Linked DNA regions of Oryctolagus cuniculus. The protein of the gene in region 1 interacts with the protein of each later gene in a pairwise test. Links are inferred from orthologs where the notes say so. Each region holds a gene or a part of one and is shown on either strand. Other genes may lie near its edges.

Region 1 (3,500 bases):
GTGAAAGGGAAGAGAAGCCCTGGGGGCTGTCCCTCACCCCCTCTCTCCTGTCTCTCAGTTCCGCTCTGTGGATGAGACCACCCAGGCCATGGCCTTCGACGGCATCATCTTCCAGGGCCAGTCGCTGAAGATCCGCAGGCCTCACGACTACCAGCCCCTGCCCGGCATGTCGGAGAACCCCTCCGTCTACGTGCCTGGTGAGTGGGGGGCCGGGCCCCTTCTCAGCCCAGCCCGGCTGTGTAGGCATGGTGTGGTGCTTCCCCACGCCCTGAGTCGGGCGGTCCCCCTGCGTGGCCGAGGTGGGGCCTGGCCACAGCGGCTGGGCTGAGGTCTGCGTGAGGACACACAGCTGCTCGGGGGCTGACGAGGACCAGGCTGCAGGTGCAGCAGCTGGTGTGGGACTTGCAGCCTGGGCCTCACCCCTGCCCTGGGCCTCACCCCAGCCCTGGGCCTCCAGGCCTGGGGACCTCGGAGGGTGCAGGGCTCCCAGTGTGTGCCCTGGGTCCTGTGTTCCAGGCCATTTCCACCTGAGTGGGCTGCATGAGGACTTCCCAGCATGCAATAGCTGTCTCTAGGAAGTGTGCAGGCTGCCCTTGGCACCCGGGCCAGGTTGCCGTCAGGGTCACTGAGGATTTGGGCTTGAGACCCTCCTGTTGGGGGTGCAGGAAGCACTCTGGCCGTGGAGGCAGCTGGTGCCGCTGTAGGTGAGCGGGAGGCCCAAGGTTGATGATGCGTTTGTGGAGCCCGGGGCTGCCTGGTTGAACTGTCCACCCGGCCTTTGTCCATCCAGGGCCAAAGGCTGGCACCCAGCAGTCCCTGGGCGGCGTCGGGGCTGTCCTGGGGCAGGGTGCCGTTTACTGCGAAAGCTTGCTAGGCACGAGGTGGTCCGTAACTTGCCCAGGGAGGTGAAGTCAGTGGGGTCCTTGCCCGGCCAGTGCCTGCCCGGCACGGACTCAGGGCGTGACTCCTGGTCCGCTCCCTTGGTGACAGCTGTCGGCCGGGCGGAGCAGTGGGAGCGTGGCTGGGCAGCCTGTGTTCTGGGAAGGGCACGGCCGGAAGCGCGGCTCTGCCGGGGGGTTCCCTGTCAGGGCCTGGCGTTCCCCCAGAGGACAGTAATTGTAATCTGTGCAGAGGCTAGAAGCAAAAGCACGGGTCAGGAAGCAGTTGTGGGGAGCAGGTGCTGGCCTGCGGGGCACCCTGCTGCCCGGCATCAGGTCAGGCTGAGGCACACACTTGGCACGGGCCGTTAGCATGCACCCAGGGTGCGAGTGTTCTCCCGGCTCCTTAAAGGGAGACACCCAGGCCTGGGGAGCCTGGCTACTGCCTCCCTGAGACTTGGCACGCCGGCTCAGAGCCCGAGCGCGGCGTCTGGCTACGGGGGGACTGGGCAGTTGCCCCCAGCCTGCTGGGCTGTCTCGGGGAGCACGTGGTTGAGTTCAACTTTGGGGCTGCCTTTTTGACTCCGGTGTTTGCCTTGTGCCTCGGCTTCCAGTTAGTGTTGTGGCCAGGGCTTCTGTGCACAGCGTGGTGCACGCCTGGGCTGCAGGAGCACCTGGGGGGACCCTGCTCCTGGCCCGCCTGCCGCCGGTGCTGCCAGGCTGAGTCTCCCGCACTCCGCTGCTGGGCTGGTCGGGAGCTGGCGGGGTTGGTGCCTGATTCTGTGGGGGAACATCAGCACGGCCAGGAGGGGCCGGGGCGGGAGAGCAAGCCCTGGGGCAGCTGAGAGTAAGGTCGAACTTTATTTCAATTTTTTTTTAAAGAGCTATTGTTTGAAAGGTGGAGTTAGAGAGAGAGAGAGAGGTCTTCCATCTGCTGGTTCACTCGCCAATTGGCCGCAATGGCCAGAGCTGCGCCGATCCGAAGCCAGGAGCCAGGAGCTTCCTCCAGGTCTCCCACGTGGGTGCAGGGGCCCAAGCACTTGGGCCATCCTCCACTGCTTCCCCAGACCACAGCAGAGAGCTGGATTGCAAGTGGAGCAGCCGGGACTCAAACTGGCGCCCACATGGGATGCTGGCAGTGCAGGCGGTGGCTTTACCCGCTGTGCCACAGTGCCGGCCCTTAAAGTTAAACTTTAACTGAGCCCCTTCTTCCTTAGTTTTGAGTTGATCTCGCATTCCTTGGCCTGCCTGTTCCTCCCCAGGGTCAGGATGGAGGTGGGTGACAGCGCTCCCACTTGGTACCTGGCGGGTGAGGAGGAGAGGCCGTATTAACTGGGTCTTTCTGGGTATTTATTTGAAGTGGAGAAGGGGGAGGGAGACAGAGGCACTCCCACTCACTGGTTCAGGCCGAAGCTGGGAGCCTGGCGCTCCATCCGGGTCTCCCCGTGGCGGCTGGCAGCTGGGTTTGTTGCAGCGCAGGGCCGGCTGCGTTGGCCGGTTCTGAAGCAGCGGCGAGGCTGGATGGGGCTGGCATCCTGGTGGAGCTGCTGGCCCTGCAGACCTCTGTCCGTGCAGTGCCAGTGGGAGGGCGGGGCGGGGTGTGGAGCTCAGTCAGAGCTTGGAAGCCATGCGGAGTCCCCGGGGCAGCCCCTGCCCCACCCCTCAGGCCGAGAACTGCCTCCCTGAGGCCAGGGCCGTGGGGAGACTCCCCAGGCCTGAGGGCCACGCTTGTAACTTGGCAGTGTGCCTTGGTCAGTGCCGCGCTGCTGGTTTGTGGCTACGGCTGAGGGCGGCTGGGGCTGGAGGCACAGGGCTTGCGCTCTGAGGAGCCGGCTCCACTGCCGTGTGCCGCGGTGCACAGCGTGGACAGCTGGGTGTGGCATGACCCCACCACCCCGTACCAGGTCCTGTGGACGGCCCAGGATCCTGGGCCCATGGACGTGACCTGTCACGGAGTTGAAGTCCTCCCCTCTCTCCCGGTAGGAGTTGTGTCCACCGTGGTCCCTGACTCTGCTCACAAACTGTTCATCGGGGGCTTACCCAACTACCTGAATGATGACCAGGTTAGCCCTCCCCCGCTGCAGACACAGACACACACTCCTGTCCTGATGGGGTCCGGGCCTGCCTGCTCCCCCCACCCCTGCCCCTGCCCTGATGGGGTCCGGGCCTGCCTGCTCCCCCCACCCCCCACCCCTGCCCTGATGGGGTCTGGGACTGCCTGCTTCCCCAACCCCCCACCCCTGCCCCTGCTCTGATGGGGTCCGGGGGTCTGGGACTGCCTGCTTCCCCCACCCCCACCCCTGCCCTGATGGGGTCCGGGCCTGCCTGCTCCCCCCACCCCCAACCCCTGCCCTGATGGGGTCTGGGCCTGCCTGCTCCCCTGCCCCCTGCTGCCCACCTCTGCCCCTGCCCTGATGGGGTCTGGGCCTGCCTGCTCCCCTCACCCCTGCCCTGCCCTGATGGGGTCTGGGTCTGTCGCAGGTAAAAGAGCTGCTGACCTCCTTCGGGCCTCTGAAGGCCTTCAACCTGGTCAAGGACAGTGCCACGGGGCTCTCCAAGGGTTACGCCTTCTGTGAGTACGTGGACATCAACGTCACGGATCAGGTGAGCCCCAGGCCCCGG
Region 2 (4,128 bases), on another chromosome or scaffold:
CTTGGGCCCCTGAACCAGCGTGGGAGACCTGGAAGAAGTTCCTGGCTTTGGATCAGCTCAGCTCTGGCTGTTGTGGCCATCTGGGGAGTGAACCAGCAGACTGGACTGGAAGACTCTCTGGTTCTACCTCTCTCTGTAACTCTTTCAAATAAATTTCTTAAAAAAAAAAAAAAAAGAAAGAAAAATGTCTGCTGCAAAAGGCCTCTGAAGTACCAACTCTTGCAGCAAGTGCTTGTAAAAAACTCAGTATGCAGGACCTCTTCTCCCAAGGACTACACATTCTCAGGTGTCTGTGAGGTTTTGGCAGGCTCTTTCCCATCTACGCTCCTGAAACCTGCTCCTTTAGAAAGCAGTGAGATGAGGCTAGCCCTTCTTTGGAGTCAGTGAGCAGAAACACAGCGTTCCTGGTGTGCGAATGTCATGCTGAGCTAGTTTCCAGTGCCTGTGAAGCGCCTGCCTTGGATTTTAGATTTGCTCTGCCACCCGTTTCGAAGGGGGCCAGGGAGATGGGGAGCTGAATGCAGAGGACGCTGTTACCATCCGCTGATGTAGCCTCTGGGAGTCCTTCACTTCTCAGGCATTCTAACAGACCCAGCAGTTATACTAAGACGTATGGAGCCGAATCCTGGGTTCCAGACCCTTCTCCAAGAAGAACAGCAATTCCGGAGGTCTCCATGCTCTACCCACTCTTATTTCTCCAGGGTTCATCTCACATTACATCAAACACGTTAAACACACAAGGCCGGTGCTGTGGTGTAGTGGGTTACACTACTGCCTGTGAGGCCAGCATCCCATATGGGTGCCGCTTTGAGTCCTGGCTGCTCCACTTCCAATCCAGCTCCCTGCTAATGCGCCTGGGAAAGCAGCAGAGGATGGTGCCTGCCACCCACATGGGAGACCTGACCGAGGTCCAGGCTCCTGGCTTCTCTGGCCAGAAGTCTTCCCTGTCACCTGCCTTTTAAATAAACAAATGTTTTAAAATATAACAATGCCCCAACACTTAACATTTTGCTTGGTAATTATTCATCTATGAGTAATTCATATAATTTACCACTGGATCCATGGGTAATGACATTTGTAAACAATCAGGCTGAATGAAAATGCCATTGTATCTCCTTTTGCTGAGCATCTGGTATCCTTAGGTAATCCAATGCTGCAGTTTTGTGTGTTTTTTTGTTTTTTATAGATTTATTTGTTTATTTGAAAGAGTTACATAGAAAGAGGAAGCAGAGGCGCAGAGAGAGAGAGAGAGAGAGAGAGAGTGTGTGTGTGTGTGTGTGTGTCTTCCAACCGTTGGTTCACTCCCCAGTTGGCTGCAACGACCGGAGCTGCAGTGGAAGCCAGGAGCCAGGAGCTTCCTCCAGGTCTCCCACGTGGGTGCAGGGGCCCAAGCACTTGGGCCATCTCCCACTGCTTTCCCAGGCCATGGCAGAGAGCTGGACTGGAAGCGGAGCCCATATGGGATGCCGGCACTGCAGGCAGCGGCTTTACGCCACAACCCAACCTCTCAGCTTTTTATTTTCAAAAGTCTATTTCCCCTACCCCCAGCTGTAGCAGTGGAGCCACAGGACCAGCGGGGTAAAACAGCCCTGAGTTTATGGCCTCCACCATACTAGGAGCTCAGGGAGAGCAGGTCTTCTCTCGGCACACCCACAAGCTGTCTCAATCTTTGGGATCCTTAAGGTTGGGGCGTAGGTTTGCGAGAAAAAACACCTCCCTGATATCCTGGCCAAAATAAACTCTGAATTTCTCCCTTCCTAAAAGAGCAGCTTCTCCCGGCTGCTCCACTTCCCACCCAGCTGCCTGCCGGTGCACCCAGGAAGGCAGCCCAGGATGGCCCAGGTCCTTGGGCCCCTGCCACTCACATGGGTGACCGTGGGGAGCTCCTGGCTTTGGCAGCCATTTGGGGAGTGAACGAGGGAATGAGGGACCTCTCCCTCCCTCTCCGTGGCTTTCAAATAAACAAATCTTTATATATATATGTGTGTATATATGTATATATAGATATTATATATATATGTATATATGTATATATAGATATTATATACATATATACATATATATACATATATACATATCTATATGTATATATAGATATTATATACATATATACATATATATATACACACACACACCTATACATACATACAGAACAGGGTTGGGGGAGGGCACGGGGAAGGCCTTCGCTCCTATCCCATTCAGCCTTCGGCGGCCGCCACCATCCGCCCTCCGCAGGCGCGGAACTCGCTAAGCCCACGTCCGGACGCGCGAGGAACCGCCGCTCGGCCGGGAACGCCCCCGGCTCCCGGCCCGAGACCCCCGCCCCGCCCTCGCCCCCGCCCCTCTCGTGAGGTCTCGCGCGGACACGCGCCCGGCTCCGCCCCGCGCCCAACCGGCCGCGCGCCCCCCACCCCGGCTGGGGCCGGCCCCGCGATGCGCGCAGGGGGACTTACTTGTGGAAAGACACGGGCTTGTCCTTGTCGTACCGGTTCTTGCAGCCGTAAGCGGAACACGACTGCACCATCCTTCCGGTCTCTGTCCCTTCACTTCTGCCGCCCCTGAAGGCAGGCGGAGCTGCTCCCGATGTCGCAGCTCTCGGTGTGGACGCCTTCTCCTCCTGTAGCTTTGGTCAACGGTTACAGAGAAGACGGTTTCACTCGGGGAGGGGTGGTGGTGACTACCGCGCCCGTTGTGGAGTTTGCATTAGCAGAAGGGCCACAGCCATCGCCCCTCTCCCATCTCCAAGATGGCGGAGGCAGCTTCAAACTCACCTCTCGCGAGGAGTTCTTCCACCGTCTCCGAGTAGCCTCTGAGGTCAGAGGTAACGTTTTTCTAGGAAGCAGGCCATTGGCTGAGGCCGAGCGTTTCCTGCGTCGTGGGGCGGGGCGGTGGCTAGGCGTTGCGGAAGGAGGCGGGGCTTCAGAACTTGGGTCTAGGCCGGGACTGCTAGGGGAAGGCGAAGCTCCCAGGGCCAGCCCTGCGCCGCGGGTGGTGCTCCCCGGAGTTCTGTACCCCGAGTTTTCCCCGGGCAGCCTTGAGTGGGAAACATACAGCGTGTGGGGTCAGCTGTCAAGCTGAGCCAGCCCGCTCTCCCAGGTCGCCGATTGGATTCCGGTGACATCTCAGCTGCCGAGACGGTAGCGCGCAGTGTCCCACCGCACAGAGGCGTTGCCTCTTTATCCCCTGCCCCCTGCAGATCCGGCGAGCGGACTGCTGATTGCATGGTTCGGACGCTCTGCTTTTTTCTGCCCCCTGAAACGTGGGCGTTTCCGGAACTCTAGACAGCTTGCTAGTGATTCCCAGGTCGTCTGTTAACTGCCTGCATCTGTCCTGCTTCCCGTATTACCTGCGAGTCGTTTGTCCCACGGCTGTCTATACCAGAGTCGTCTTCAAACGCCTTGATGACACCACGTTAATTTTATAGAATCCGTACACGCCTCTTAAGTCCATTCCTTTTTCATCTTTAACTCCTGTTCTTTTGAGTCCTTTATTTTTAAAGTATTTTGTTTGAGAGGGAGATAAGTGATCTTTCATCTGCTGGTTCACTTCCGAGAAGCCAGGAGCTTCTTCCGGGTCTCTCTCGTGGGTGCAGGGACCCAAGGACTTGGGCCATCCTCCACTGCTTTCCAGGCCACAGCAGAGAGCGGGATCGGAAATGGAGCAGCCGGGACTCGAACCGGCGGCCATATGGGATGCCGGCACTGCAGTGGCGGCTTTGCCCACTGTGCCGCAGCGTCGGCTCTTAGCTCCTGTTCTTGATCAGACCCTCACCGTGGGTGCAACCCCCTGACTTTGCCATCTGCAGTCCTCATGGAAGCCGACACTCCCCTGTGCTTCATCAGTTTATTCGTGTTTTGAACAAAATCCCGATGTCTTAAGGTCAGCCACAAAGCCCTCTAGGACCAGGCGCCTCTGCTTTTCCAGCGTCTCCTGCTTAAGCTCTGCTGCAGCTGTAGGTCTTTAATAGGCAGGCTCTCCGGTGCCTCCCACAAGAAGCCTGTTTTCCTGGGCTTCGCGTGCTCCTGACCTCCTCAACCGAGGCAACTCTCTTGTTCCAGTGAAGCCTTGCACTCGTTTCTGTGAACAGTCTTGAACCGCTCCGCAGTGTCCGGTACATAATCTGCCGTC
Region 3 (2,750 bases), on another chromosome or scaffold:
GCCGTGGCCGTGGTGGGTGCCAGCTGCCGCCGCCTCCCACAGGAGGGCCGCGAGCCCGACTACTCGGAGTACAAGGAGTTCAAGCTGACCGTGGAGAACATCGGCTACCAGATGCTCATGAAGATGGGCTGGAAGGAGGGCGAGGGGCTGGGCTCCGAGGGCCAGGGCATCAAGAACCCGGTCAGCAAGTGAGTGGGGTCCGGGGGCTGGGGGCGGGGACAGAGCCATGGGGCAGCAAGTGAGTGGGGTCCGGGGGAGGCTGGAGGCGGGGACAGAGCCACGGGTCAGCAAGTGAGTGGGGTCCAGGGGGGCTGGGGGCGGGGACAGCCATGGGGCAGCAAGTGAGTGGGGGCAGGGACAGAGCCATGGGTCAGCCAGTGAGTGGGGGCGGGGACGGAGCCACGGGGCAGCAAGTGAGTAGGGTCCCGGGGGGCTGGGGGCGGGGACGGAGCCACGGGGCAGCAAGTGAGTGGGGTTCAGGGGGGCTGGGGGCGGGGATAGAGCCATGGGGCAGCAAGTGAGTGGGGTCTGGGGGGGGGCTGGGGGCGGGGACAGAGCCACGGGGCAGCAAGTGAGTGGGGGCAGGGATAGAGCCATGGGTCAGCAAGTGAGTGGGGTCCGGGGGGCTGGGGGCGGGGACAGAGCTACAGGGCAGCAAGTGAGTGGGATCCGGGGGGCTGGGGGCGGGGACAGAGCCACGGGGCAGCAAGTGAGTGGGGTCCGGGGGGCTGGGGGCGGGGACAGAGCCACAGGGCAGCAAGTGAGTGGGGTCCGGGGGGGGGGGCTGGGGGCGGGGACAGAGCCACGGGGCAGCAAGTGAGTGGGGTCCGGGGGGCTGGGGGCGGGGACAGAGCCACGGGGCAGCAAGTGAGTGGGGTCCGGGGGGCTGGGGGCAGGGACAGAGCCACAGGGCAGCAAGTGAGTGGGGTCCGGGGGGGGGGCTGGGGGCGGGGACAGAGCCACGGGGCAGCAAGTGAGTGGGGTCCGGGGGGCTGGGGGCGGGGACAGAGCTACAGGGCAGCAAGTGAGTGGGGTCCGGGGGGCTGGGGGCAGGGACAGAGCCACAGGGCAGCAAGTGAGTGGGGTCCGGGGGGGGGGCTGGGGGCGGGGACAGAGCCACGGGGCAGCAAGTGAGTGGGGGCAGGGATAGAGCCATGGGTCAGCAAGTGAGTGGGGTTCAGGGGGGCTGGGGGCGGGGACAGAGCCACGGGTCAGCAAGTGAGTGGGGTTCAGGGGGGCTGGGGGCGGGGACAGAGCCACGGGGCAGCAAGTGAGTGGGGTCCGGGGGGCTGGGGGCGGGGACAGAGCCACAGGGCAGCAAGTGAGTGGGGTCCGGGGGGCTGGGGGCGGGGACAGAGCCATGGGGTGGCACTCTGGCTGGTGCAGCCCCCACGCCTGGCCCAGCTGGCCTTGGGAAGGCCCTCTCTGAATTCCCGTCACGCTAAGCAGCGGGAATCCTGGGCACCAGCCCTCGCCCGGAGCGCTCTCCATGCACCCGCAGGGCTGGCCCCGCAGGGCGCTGTCCGCCGCCGCCGCCCACGCTCCCTGGAGCTGTGACAACCTGTGCTGACCGAGGGCCCGCCTTCCCACGCGGGACCCTGGGGCTGGGCCACTTCGGTTCTTCCTCCCCTCACAGAGGTGGCCCCCCAGCCCAGCCCCCGATGTGTGTCCTGGAGGTGTGGCTGTGAGCCCAGCCATGCCCAGGGTTCAGGGGCCGGGCCAGGCCAACGCGGGAGCCCGAAGCTCAATCCAGGCCTCCCGCGTGGGCGGCAGGGACCAAGCACTTGGGCCATCACCGCCGGCTTCCCCCCGTGGTACATGCCAGCAGGAAGCCGGAAGGGGACGTGGCGCAGCCCCGCCCCCTGCTCATGCCACCCGGTCGCCTCCGCACAGGGGCACCACCACCGTGGACGGCGCCGGCTTCGGCATCGACCGGCCGGCTGAGCTCTCCAAGGAGGACGACGAGTACGAGGCTTTCCGCAAGAGGATGATGCTGGCCTACCGCTTCCGGCCCAACCCCCTGGTGCGCTTGTCCCTCTCCGCCCAGCTCTCGCGGTCAGCCTTGGGCTGGGGCGGTCAGGGAAGGTGGCCCCGCCTGAGGGTGTGGACTTCGCTGCACGCGGCAGGAGCTGCTGTGTCTGTGTCCTGCGTTAACCGCTCCCCCTCTCCCCGCCTTGCCTCCCGCAGAACAACCCGAGGCGGCCGTACTACTGACAGCTGCGCAGGCGGCTTTCCCAGCACCGGTCCTGGACCCTGGAACGTGGCCGCGCTGCGCCCGCCCCTGCCGTCACCAGTGTCGTGCTGTGTATTAAAGTCTCAGTGCTCACCTGCTGTCCAGTCCCTCAGCGCCGGGCGGGGTCTGCATGGGCGGGGTCAGCGGGCGCGGTTGGGGGACCGCCCAGCCCAGCCCCGCCCCCCGGGAGGCAGGGCCCAGCCTTTCCTCAGACCACGTCCCCCACCTGCCCAGCAGGTGGCGCTGGCAGGACCCGGCGCGCAGAACAAGCCGCAGCTGGTGATGCTGTACACGTGGCCACCTGGGGCTCCACCAGTGGGAGTCCTGGGGGCCTCCCTTTGGAGGAAAGGTGTGTGCCGAGACCCCCAAGCCAGCAGCTCACAGCTGTCCAGAAGCCCCCCACCCCGGGGGCCTTGTTCACCTGCGGCTGCCCAGGAATCCGCCTTCCCGCTGGCCTTGCTGGTCCTCAGGCTGCTCCTGCAGCAGCAGAGCCCAGGGATCTCACCCTGTGGGGGCC
Region 4 (3,500 bases), on another chromosome or scaffold:
GGCCCAAATATTTGAGCTATCATCTATTCCTCCCACGATGTGCGTTAGCAGAAAACTGGATCCAAAATGGAAGAACTGGGACTCACACCAGGCACTCCAATATAAATGCAGGCTCTGCAAGCTGTTTATTAACTGCTGCACCAGATTCCAGATTAACAATTTTGAGGCCGGTGCCATGGCTCAATAGGCTAATCCTCCACCTGCGGCACCGGCCCGCCGGGTTCTTGTCCTGGTTGCTCCTCTTCCAGTCCAGCTCTCTGCTGTGGCCCGGGAGGGCAGTGGAGAATGGCCCAAGTACTTGGGCCCTGCACCCGCATGGGAGACCAGGAGGAGGCACCCGGCTCCTGGCTTCAGATCAGCGCGGTGCGCCGGCCGCAGCGCACCAGCCACAGCAGCCATTGGGGGGTGAACCAATGGCAAAGGAAGACCTTTCTCTCTGTCTCTCTCTCACTGTCCACTCTGCCTGTCAAAAAAAAAAAAAAGAATTTTGAGAACATTGCGAGGACAAAATTTGATATGTTGTGATGATAGGGGTGGCTCAAAGACAACTTCCTTCTCATGAATGAGGTGTACAGGTTGTATGCATTGCTCTTTGTTTTATGACACAGCCAGCTGTTTGAGCTATAAAAGGATCATAATTGACTGTTTAATTTTCCTTTTGGAGGTTGCAGTTTCTAGTCCAGACTGTTTCTGTAATTATATGGTCATAAAATGGGCACAGGGGGCTGTTGTGGCACAGTGGTAAGCCATTGCCTACAACCCCAGCATCCCATATGACCACCAGTTTATGAGTCCCAGTTGCTTCCAACCCAGCTCCCTGCTAATAGGCCTGGGAAAGCAAGTGCCTGGGCCCCTGCTACCGACGTGGGAGATGTGAAAGGAGTTCCAGGCTCCTGCTTCCACCTAGCCCAGTCCCAGCCTCTGTGGCCATTTGGGGGTGAACCAGCAGTGGAAAATCAATCAGTCTCTCTAAGTTTGCCTTTCAGATAAATAAAATAAATTTTTTTTCAAATGGGCACAGGGCTAAGTTTACAGAACAGTCTAGTGTTGGCTTTCAGGTAAATCATTTATACTTTGGTATCATTTTGCTTGTTATTTTATTTGTGAAGAATGACCGAGTGTGCTTACAGGCAGGTGGGGGGAGGGGTAAGGAGGTGATGGGACAATTAAAAAGATTCGTTTTATCATATAAACTTTTTAATCTCGGTAGCTTCAAGCCCCTGGCAAAGGCCTCACCAGCAATAAAAGCAAAGATGACCTGGTGGTGGCTGAAGTTGAGATCAATGATGTGCCTCTCACGTGCAGAAACCTGCTGACTCGAGGACAGACTCAAGATGAGGTACGGAGGGATTGGGACTCTGGGGAAGGTGGCAGGCAGGTCAGCTCAGAAAACAGGCCCAACACAGATGGGAACATGGGAGGCATTTATTAGTAGGTTTGGGTCATGGTCTCTGAAGTCAAGGTTGAGTTTAGTTTAACTTCAGAGGAAGATCATGAAACATAGGAGTAAATTCCCTAGGTTGGTTTCAGTAAGAAACCATGGTATCAAATTTCAGGTACAGAATAGAACTCATTTCTGCCTTACTTGTTGGAATGAATTGCAATCAACCAATGAACACATCATCTTTTTTAAAAAAAAAATTTAAATTCTGTGTAACTGTATGGGATGAGGTACAGTGTTGGTATTTTTATACCTTCACTTTTTTTTAATAGAGCCGTTTCCTCTTGTAGATCAGCCGACTTAGTGGGGCTGCAGTATCAACTCGAGGGAGGTTCATGACGACGGAGGAGAAGGCCAAAGTAGGACCAGGGTATGTGTGCTTGTCCTCTGCTGTGGGGACACGCTGGGCGAGTGACTTGTGTTCGCTTCATGTTTTTCATTCTTAGGTGAATTCTTGTGTGGTTAGTAATTTGAGCGGGGTGTGGGTGTGCTTGCACATGCTTTATCCTGGGTGATAAGAAACGGTAGCAGCTGTGTTTTTCCCTGTCTCTTGAGTTTTTATTTCACAGTGTTTTTGTTAGAGGAAGCAAATTGAAGTTATATAAGAAGATGATTTTTAAGAATTTATTTTCATTTTATCTGAAAGATTTAAGCCAGGAGCCCAGAACTCAGTCCAGGCCTCCCATGTATTGGCAGGGACCCAGGTACTTGAACCCTCACCTCCTGCCTCTCAGGCTGTGCTTTAGCTGAGGCAGAAGCCAGGAACTGGGACTTGAACCAGGCACTCCAAGACGGGATGCAGGTGTCCTACACAGTAACTTTTCTTTAAGATTTCCTTATTTGGCCGGTACCGTGGCTCACTAGGCTAATCCTCCGCCCATGGCACCGGCATCCCCGGTTCTTGTCCTGGTTGAGGCGCCGGATCCTGTCCCGGTTGCTCCTCTTCCAGTCCAGTTCTCTACTGTGGCCCAGGAGGGCAGTGGAGGATGGCGTAAGTGCTTGGGCCCTGCACCCGCATGGGAGACCAGGAGGAAGCACCTGGCTCCTGGCTTCGGATCAGCGCAGCATGCCAGCTGTAGCAGCCATTTGAGGGGTGAACCAACGGAAAAAGGAAGACCTTTCTCTCTGTCTCTCTCACTATCTAACTCTGCCTGTCCAAAAAAAAAAAGATTTCCTTCCTTATTTGAAAAAGTTAGAAGGAGAGGTCTTTCATTCAGTGTTTCTCTCCCTAAATGCCTGCAGTGGCCAGGGAGGAGACAGACTGAAGCCAGGAGCTTCATCTGGGTCTCCTGCCTTGGGCCATCTTTTGCTGCCTTTCAGATGCCATTAGCAGGGAGCTGGATAGGAAGTGCAAAAATTGGGGCGTGAACCGGTCCCTATATGGGATGCTGGCATCACAGGCAGCAGCTTACCCTGCTATGCCACAACACGGGCCCCCATACAAAATGCCCATCACAAGAAGATAGTTGTTAAGATTTAACATACCTACATCTAAACTTATTTTCCTGTGAAAATTAACCCCCAACTGTGTGGTTACATTTAAGCTGTAAGTATGCGCATATTTTGTGTAAACTTAAAAAAAAAGTCTTGGGTACACATTTGACATGTCTGTCAAGATACCTATTTCAGGGGGCTGCACTGTGGCATAGTAGGCTAAGCCTCCACATGGGGTGCCGCATCCCATATGGACATTGGTTCAAGTCCCAGATGCTCTACTTCCCTTCTAGCTCTCTGCCATGGCCTGGGAAAGCAGCAGAAGATGGGCCAAGTACTTAGGCCCCTATACCCGCAGGGGAGACCTGGAAGAAGCTCCTGGGTCCTGGCTTCCAGTTGGCTCAGCTCTGGTCATTGTCTCCTTTTAGGACAATGGATGAAAGATCTTTCTCTCTAATTCTACCCTTCAAATAATAAATAATAAAAAACAAGACACAAATTTGTAAAAAGATACTTATTTCACACAGTGGAGTGTCTGGTTTCAGTACCAGCTTCCAAAACCTGATCCAGCTTCCTGCTAATGCACGTCTTAGAAGGAACGTAAGTTCATGTGTCCTGGCTTTGG
Region 5 (3,500 bases), on another chromosome or scaffold:
TTGCTTATTTTAGGAATGAGTTTATTTTGAAAATGTTCAAATAGAAAAACATATGCTTCATATTATTAGGCAGGAAAACTGCTGCTGTTCTTGATGTAAGCCTATTTAAATCAAAAATTAAATATTTGGCGTTCCCATGACCCTCCAAAATTTATCTTTCAGTACAGAATTTATAGAAGTCAATGAAATCAGTGAATTGATTAGGCAGAAGAGGCGAGAACTGGAATTGTCATGGTTTCCTGATACGTTACCTGGAATTGGAAGGTAAAAAAAAAAAGATTACTAAAGTGTTTATATGCTGTCATGAACACAGAATAGCATTAATACTTCTTTGGTACAGGGGCACATTATTCAATAAGAATCTTCCTAAGGAATTGTCCTACAAAGCTTTGGTGTTTCAAATGCCCTTGGAAGTGTCTCCTTAGTGTTGGTTTTCTAGTGTAAGCATTTCTGTGCTAGAGTAATTTACAAGGGAGAGCACCTGGGCCTGATACTGTGGCGCAACAGGTTAAGCCTCCCTCTTCTGCGCTGGTGTCCGAAAGAGGCACCAGTTTCAGTCCTGGCTCCTCTATTTCCAATCCGTCTCTCCCTGCTAAGGTACTGGGAAAGCATCAGAAGATGGCCCAAGTACTTGGGCCCTTGCACCCAGGTGGGAGACTTGGTGAATCTCCTGGCTTTGGCCTGGTCCAGCCCTGGCCATTGTGGCCATTTGGGGAGCGAACCATCAGATGGAAGACCCCCACCCCTGGTGTGTGTGTGTGTGTGTGTGTATGTGTGTATGTGTGTGTAACTCTGCCTTTCAGGAAAAATGTGACATGTACACACCCAGAAATATTATTCAGCCTTAAAAAGGCCAAGAGAGGAGTGAGCCAAAGGATGGAAGATCTGTCTCCTCCCTCTCTCTGTCTCTTCATTTGAAAAGAGACATGGAGGGGCTGGCGCTGTGGCGTAGAGGGTTAACGCCCTGGCTTGAAGCGCCAACATCCCACGTGGGCACCGGTTCTAGGCCTGGTTGCTCCTCTTCAGATCCAGCTCTCTGCTATGGCCTGGGAAAGCAGAGAGGAAGACCTCTCTCTCTGTCTCCACCTCTCCCTGAAACTCTGTCTTTCAAATAAATAAAATAAATCTTACAGAAAGAAAAAAGATGGGTGGGGTGTGAGAGCATCTACAGAACGTTTGTTTCTTGCGAGCATTCCCACCGTTACGCTTCCTCTGCTCTGTGCCCTTGCTGGTACCTTGCGCTGAAGCTCTGTTACTATAGTCCCCTTCTCCAAAATGTCCTTCTGAATGGGTAGTCAGTCATGTGTCTTCTCTGCCTTGGCATTCGTGACTGTGTGTCCTCTGGTACTTCTGGATGTAGGTCCTGAAGCTCGTAGCCAAATGCCCTGTCCATAATTTGTACTTAAATCAGACTGCTCTGTAAAGCTCATTCCTGGAGAACAGTAGTATTTTATCTTTTATGTCACTAGAATGTGGTTCTGCATTTACCCTCTCAGAATAAGAACAGAGCCTAAATAGAAATAAAATTAGGAAGTCCAGGTATGTACATAACAAAACTTTCCTTACAGTTACATATTTTTGTACAAGTTACACACTGTTTTTCAAGCTTCTCTTCTACTCTAGAATCTCACTATTCTGAATGAAGTAATGGTTGTTAGGAGAACTCAGCTGAACAAGGAGGAGTACAAACAGGAGCTGACAAGGGCCTTGGGCTGGAATGCAGACAGTTGTGGAGGGTTGTAACAGGTCTGTCCACACATTGGGTGCATTAAAGAGCCATTGTCCTCAGAGTGAGGAATTTTACCATGACACTGATAGTACAGCACTCACTGGTTGCCTGGGGAGGAGGAAGTAGGGTAGAAGCGTGTGAGGTGCCTTCTAGACAGGCGAGAATGCCAACTTTCTAGACTGGGCTGTAGTTACACAGAAATGTACACACAGACTGTGTTGTTACCTTAAGCACACTGATTTTCTTCAGTAGTGCTGAAGAAAGAATGAAAACTGAAACAGGGGCTGTTGTTTGGTGCAGCCGTTAGGATACCGCTGGAGTTGGCCACATGCCTCAGAGTGCCTGTGTTCAGGCCCTGGCTCTGCTTTTGATCCCAGCTCCTCATTATGCTGGGAGGCAGCAGATGATGGCTCAAGGCCTTGAGTCCTTGCCACCCATGTGGCAGACCCAGATTGAGTTCTAGGCTTCTGCCTTTGGCCTAGTCCAGTTCTACCTATTGTGGGCATTTGCGAAGTGAACTAAGGGATGGAAGATCTCTGTCTGTCTCTGCCTTTTAAATTAAAAAAAAAAATGAAATTCTTAATACCAAAAATTACATTAAATTGTTTAAAAGAGAAGCACCTGTGTGTGTTAAGTTACCTTCATCTCTCTTTGCCAATAATTTATCAGGAAAACATACTTTTAAAGATTTTTTTTCAGGGTTGGTATTTTTCATAGCTGTTGATTGATTTTTTTATTTTGTTTATTTGAGAGGTAGAGTTAGAGAAGGAGGGAGAGAGAAAGGTCTTCCATCCGCTGGTTCACTCCCCAAAGGGCTGCAACTGCTGGAGCTGGGCCCATCTGAAGCCAAGATTCAGGAGCTTCCTTTGGGTCTCCCACGTGGGTGCAAGCACTTGGGCCATCTTATACTGCTTTCCTAGGTCATTAGCAGAGACCTGAATCAGAAGAGGAGGCTGGGACTAGAACCAGCACCTGTATATGGTGCTGGCACTGCGGGTGGAGGCTTAGCCCACTATGCCACAGTGCCAGTCCCTAGCATAGCAGCTTGACACCCATGTCCCACATTGGAGTGCCTGGGTTCCGTTCCCAGCTTTGGCTCTCAACTCCAGTTTGCTGCTAATACAGAACCTGGCAGAAGTGATGATGGCTTGCTTAAGTAATTGAGTTCCTGTCACCATGTGGGAGACCTGGATTCAGTGTACTGCTCTTGGCTCTTGCCCTAGCTATTATGGCCAGTTGAGGAGCAAAGCAGATGGGAGCTCTCTCTCTGTCTGCTTCTGTGTTTGTGTGTGTATATGTCTGTCTCCTTGCCTCTCATAAATAAATAAATACATAGTTTTGGTTATTAAAAGGTTTTTTTTTTTTTGCAACCATTTGGTAGCCATCTTTGGATAATGAGCATCCCTGAATTAACATTTTCAGATATTTGGGCAAAATAAGTTTAAGCACTCTGCTTTAATATTTTTAATCTAATTTGGGATATTGATGGTTTTGAATTGCTGATTTAAATTTTTAAACCATTTAAACAGAAATATCTTTATTTTGTTTTGAATTTTCAGAATTGGTTTTATACCTTGGAATACTGAAACAGAAGTCCTTCCTCTCATTTCTTCCATGTTGCCCAGAACTATTTTTCCAACAAGTACCATATGTTTAGAAAATTTTGGTAAAGTTTATGAAATGTTTATTTTATTATTATTGCTTCTGATTTCTAAAAAATGTGAATATTGATGACATAGAACAACTTTAACTAAGGTATAGTAACTCCTAG
Region 6 (3,992 bases), on another chromosome or scaffold:
ATACGAATTGAACACTCTGCAAAACAGTAGAACTGGATTCTTCAAAAAAAAGTCAATGTTACAAAAGAAAAAAAAATCCAAACCAGGGATTACTCTAGAATAAAGGAGCTAAAAAAGACATGAGAACCAAATGCAATGAAAGACCCTTGACTGTATCCTGAGTTGGAAAAAAAATCAACTAAAAGGGCTAATAAGAGGGCCATTTTGAAAATTCACATATGGCCTGTATATTACAGATAATCATACTGCATCAGTGTTAAATTGTCTTGGAGTGATAATGGAATTCTGATTATGTAGGAGAACATCTTTATCCTCAGTAGAAACCCATTGAAATATTTGGGGATAAAGGGTACAGAAAGCAAATGTGGTGAAATTTTAAATATTGGTGATTATGGGTTCGTATGGCTGTTCATTATATTTTCTTGCGCCTTTTCTGTAGGTTTGATACTTTGGAAAAGAAAAAGTTGCAGGAATCTAAAGCTTTTCAAAATTCAAGCAATGTTTTTATTTTGGTCTTGTTCTTGGGTTTAACATCTTTGGGGTAAGATAAGCTACTTCCGTTAGTTCAGGATCCAGTTGTGTGACCGGGGAGAGAGTCAATGGCCAGGATGCCTATTTTTTCAAAACGATTGTAATGATTTAAATCACTATGGGAGCACTGCGGTTAAATTTGTGTCATCATCGACTTGATTCCCGCCTGTAGACTAGGCAGTCTGGTAAGGTGGACCGGGTTTGGAGCCGCCAGACCTGAATTCGGATCCTGACTGGTTAAACGGTTGGACCTCCGGAGGACTTCATGGCCTTCTTTTAAGATGGAGACCAGAACTACTTGGTGCAGTTCTTTGTTAGGCTAACACGTTCCTCACCGGACTGGGCTTCAATTCACGTGCAGAAGCCGCATCCTATTTGTCAACGCTCTGTGGATCTTTTCATCCCTTAAACTTAACCCAATTCTGAGGGGCGGGTGAAGGGGTGCGGTGGGGTGGGGAGAGAAAACGACTTTGCCAAGGTCACACTGCAAACCTAGGGCCCAGGGCTCCCGGTTCTTGGTCCTGTGCCCTTTCCACGCGCGCCGGATTGGAGGAAGCGGCGCTCATGGGGATGCAAGGATGTAGAGGAGCCAAGGGGGAGAAGAGGCCGCGGGAAGAGAGGTGGTGTGAGCCCCGCGGAGGCGCCGGGCACCGACGGGCGCATGGACAGGCGGCCAGCGCGACCGGCCGGGGTGCGGCGGGCAGGGGCTTTGGCTGGCGAGGGAGGGTCGGCGGGCCGGGGGCCGAGCGCGATGGGCGGCCCCGCGCCCGCCGCAAGGGCGCAGGAGGCGGCAGCCTGGGCCGCGGACCGGGGCGGGCGAGGCCGTGGGCGAGACAGGCCTAGAGGGCGGTAGTCCTCTCGCCACGGGTGGGTGGCGGCGGCGGCCGCGGGGTGGGGGGCGCGCGTGGGGTCCCAATCCCCCCGGACCGCCGGGGGGCGGGGCGGGGGCGGGGCCGGACGGGGGCGGGTCTTGCTGGGTCCCCGCGGGAGCGGCGGCGGCGGCGGCGGCGGCGGCGCAGGCGCGGTTCTGACTCCTCGGCTGGCGGAGTGAGGGGAGGCTGCAGCCCGGCTCGGCTCTGCTCGGCTCGGCTCCCGCGTTGCCGCCGCGGCCGCCGCGGCCGCCGCCGCCGCGAAGCCCCCCGCCCCGCTTCCGCCGCGTAGCGATGAGTTCCCGGAAAGGTGAGCGTCCCGCGGCGCCCCCCGCCTCGCGGCCCTCACGCCGCCCGGCCCGACCGTTAATGTGTGTCTTCTCTTTCCTTAGTGCTGGCCATTCAGGCCCGAAAGCGGAGGCCGAAAAGAGAGAAACATCCGAAAAAGTGAGTCCACGCCGCGCTCGTCTCGGGGTCCCCTCCCTGCCTCGCCGGGGGCGAGGGGCGGCAGCCGGCGGCCGCGCAGGGCAAAGTTGCCCGGGTCCCCCGGGCCGGCGGGCGGGCTGGTCCCCCGGGACGCCGGCGCTCGGCTCCAGCGCGCCCCGCGGGCGGCCCGGGGGGAGGGGCGGCGGGCGGGGGAGGGGTGTGCGGCCCCGCGCCCGCCCCGCCGCGGACCCCCGGGCCCGCGCCCCCAGACCGGGTCTCCGCGGCCGGCGGCGGCGAGCGGCGGGGAGGCGCCGGGCGTGCGCCGGGCTGGCCCGGGGGGTCGCAGGCCCTCCTCAGGAGGGGCCCCGGCGCCCGTGCCTGGCTCCCTCGCGCTGGGCGCGCGCGTGAGGCGGCTGCGCGGCTAGCACCTGGGCGGCGGGGCCCGGGAGGAAGAGGAGCTGGGCGTCTGAGTGGGCGTCGCTGCCGCCGCCGCCGCCGCCGCCGCCTCCTTCTCAGCGAGGCCGCCTCGCGGCCTTTCTGCCCCACACGCGAGCCGGGCGTCGAAGGGATCTCCTGAGACTTGTCCCTGGCGCGAGCTCAGCTCTGAGACCCGTGCGTTTCGGCGCTCGGGTACGTCTTCCAAACTTTGTGCTCGGGTCGAGCGTGACTTTGGTGCGCGGCGGGGCGCGCTGCAAGGCCCTGGGCCGGGGGCGTCGACGTCGCGGCCGCCGCCTGCGCCCGGCCCTGCCCGGGAACCTTTCCCGGAGAGCGGCTTGGGGCCGCCGCTGCCGCCCGGCCGGGCTGTGCCCGTGCCCGTGCCCGCCGTGAGCCTCGTTACCCCTTCCGAACGGGGGCCTCGCTCCGGGTGTGGAGCGAAACCTACTCTGCGCCGTGGCTTGGTGCTTCGGGGAAGGGCGCAGAGGCGTTCCCGTCGCTGTGTCCTTCGCCGCGGCCTTGACCCGTGACGAAGGTGCTGGTGTGTCCACGGCCGGGTGTTTTGTTCGCGGAAAGCCCAACTGCAAAGTGCATGGAGGGCTCCGCAAGCCGGGTTTCGGCTGGACCATGCCTTCCTGAACAGGAACCCGCGAGTGCGGGAAAGGGGTTTCTTAGGCACTTGAAGAACCGCCGGGTCAAGTCGGACGTTGAATTCTCAGGAGGGCGAAAGGCGTGGATTTCTGGTACTTTCAGACGCGTTTAAGAAATTAATGCTAAGCTGTCAGGTCCATTAGAGCCTTCCATTTGGGATTTCCCTTGGCGAACCAGTGATGTTGAGCCTGTAAGTCAGGAGACCTGTAACGGGGAGGATTCGGAGTGAGTGAGGACTGAGTTTTAACCACAGCTGTCAGAGCATTGGTTTATTTCCACGGAGCTCGTTATGTTCAGAAACATAGAAGTTGGGAAAAGCATAGCCTCAGTTTGAGAAATGATTGAATTTGTATATATAAATAGATATGAAGCTACTCGAGAAAGTGGAAAATGGAATTAAAAGTTTCATGCATAAAGTTTTTGAAATGCATGCATATAAGGCATTCATATTAGCGTTCATGAAAGCATATGGTGGGAAAATTGCAAGGACTTCAAAGTTGTCTGAACTGAAAGACCTTTAATTCCATTTCCTGTGAGTTTTATGAAGTACCCCATACACAAGTATGCATGGTTTACTTGAGTACACGTAGAAAATTTGTTTCAATTCAGTGTGTTTTATATCTTAATATTTCAGGGTATGACTTTCATGGTGGTGAATAGCAGTTTTTGGCATGCTACAGTTTGGATTTATGTAGGATATTTATAAAGAGTCAGCGAATATCCACAATGTTCTACTTTCACTCTCATAGGTTAATCTCCCAGTTCCTTCCACTGTGTACATGTGATACGATTTAAGGGAAAGAACACTAGCTATGAGGAGATGAACTGGCTGGTCTGCCATATAATTAGCAAGAAGGGACCAGCCAATTCCCTAGCTGATGCATCGAGACATTGCCGCTTTTCACTTATTCTTTGAATCCAGACATTATCTGCAAGAAACACCGGATGTGATTTAGTCATGTACTCACCAGATACCCGCACATCTTTTGGAGGTGGTCATGGAGCGTTGAATGAAGCACACACAGCTGCTCACGAAGCAGACACTCTAGGGTTTTGGGGAGAACCGCAGAGCGGGTGACA

What was found.
Region 2: the proteins of U2AF2 (region 1) and THAP1 interact in binary tests that used the Homo sapiens proteins (3 or more experiments, as listed by UniProt). The two-hybrid records come from large-scale screens. The link is inferred for Oryctolagus cuniculus from reciprocal best matches to the Homo sapiens genes U2AF2 and THAP1.
Region 3: the proteins of U2AF2 (region 1) and SUGP1 interact in binary tests that used the Homo sapiens proteins (3 or more experiments, as listed by UniProt). The link is inferred for Oryctolagus cuniculus from reciprocal best matches to the Homo sapiens genes U2AF2 and SUGP1.
Region 4: the proteins of U2AF2 (region 1) and KHDC4 interact in binary tests that used the Homo sapiens proteins (3 or more experiments, as listed by UniProt). The two-hybrid records come from large-scale screens. The link is inferred for Oryctolagus cuniculus from reciprocal best matches to the Homo sapiens genes U2AF2 and KHDC4.
Region 5: the proteins of U2AF2 (region 1) and SCAF11 interact in binary tests that used the Homo sapiens proteins (3 or more experiments, as listed by UniProt). The link is inferred for Oryctolagus cuniculus from reciprocal best matches to the Homo sapiens genes U2AF2 and SCAF11.
Region 6: the proteins of U2AF2 (region 1) and SRPK2 interact in binary tests that used the Homo sapiens proteins (3 or more experiments, as listed by UniProt). The link is inferred for Oryctolagus cuniculus from reciprocal best matches to the Homo sapiens genes U2AF2 and SRPK2.

The regions. Positions count from the first base shown.
Region 1 is NC_091449.1:3,329,862-3,333,361, reverse strand, and holds part of U2AF2 (splicing factor U2AF 65 kDa subunit), read left to right. Parts: intron 1-58; coding exon 59-197; intron 198-2,861; coding exon 2,862-2,941; intron 2,942-3,359; coding exon 3,360-3,482; intron 3,483-3,500. UniProt on the Homo sapiens protein: Plays a role in pre-mRNA splicing and 3'-end processing. By recruiting PRPF19 and the PRP19C/Prp19 complex/NTC/Nineteen complex to the RNA polymerase II C-terminal domain (CTD), and thereby pre-mRNA, may couple transcription to splicing.
Region 2 is NC_091433.1:92,919,832-92,923,959, forward strand, and holds the start of THAP1 (THAP domain-containing protein 1), read right to left. Parts: upstream 2,801-4,128; 5' UTR 2,525-2,800; coding exon 2,454-2,524; intron 2,302-2,453; exon of another isoform or gene 2,148-2,301; coding exon of another isoform or gene 2,146-2,147; intron 1-2,145. UniProt on the Homo sapiens protein: DNA-binding transcription regulator that regulates endothelial cell proliferation and G1/S cell-cycle progression.
Region 3 is NC_091447.1:66,071,977-66,074,726, reverse strand, and holds the end of SUGP1 (SURP and G-patch domain-containing protein 1), read left to right. Parts: intron 1-42; coding exon 43-188; intron 189-1,893; coding exon 1,894-2,023; intron 2,024-2,187; coding exon 2,188-2,214; 3' UTR 2,215-2,250; downstream 2,251-2,750.
Region 4 is NC_091438.1:42,767,353-42,770,852, forward strand, and holds part of KHDC4 (KH homology domain-containing protein 4), read left to right. Parts: intron 1-1,210; coding exon 1,211-1,339; intron 1,340-1,731; coding exon 1,732-1,811; intron 1,812-3,500.
Region 5 is NC_091440.1:136,677,101-136,680,600, reverse strand, and holds part of SCAF11 (protein SCAF11), read left to right. Parts: intron 1-162; coding exon 163-264; intron 265-3,288; coding exon 3,289-3,395; intron 3,396-3,500. UniProt on the Homo sapiens protein: Plays a role in pre-mRNA alternative splicing by regulating spliceosome assembly.
Region 6 is NC_091434.1:139,062,370-139,066,361, forward strand, and holds the start of SRPK2 (SRSF protein kinase 2), read left to right. Parts: upstream 1-1,192; coding exon 1,193-1,222; intron 1,223-1,556; exon of another isoform or gene 1,557-1,694; coding exon of another isoform or gene 1,695-1,710; intron 1,711-1,792; coding exon 1,793-1,847; intron 1,848-3,992. UniProt on the Homo sapiens protein: Serine/arginine-rich protein-specific kinase which specifically phosphorylates its substrates at serine residues located in regions rich in arginine/serine dipeptides, known as RS domains and is involved in the phosphorylation of SR splicing factors and the regulation of splicing.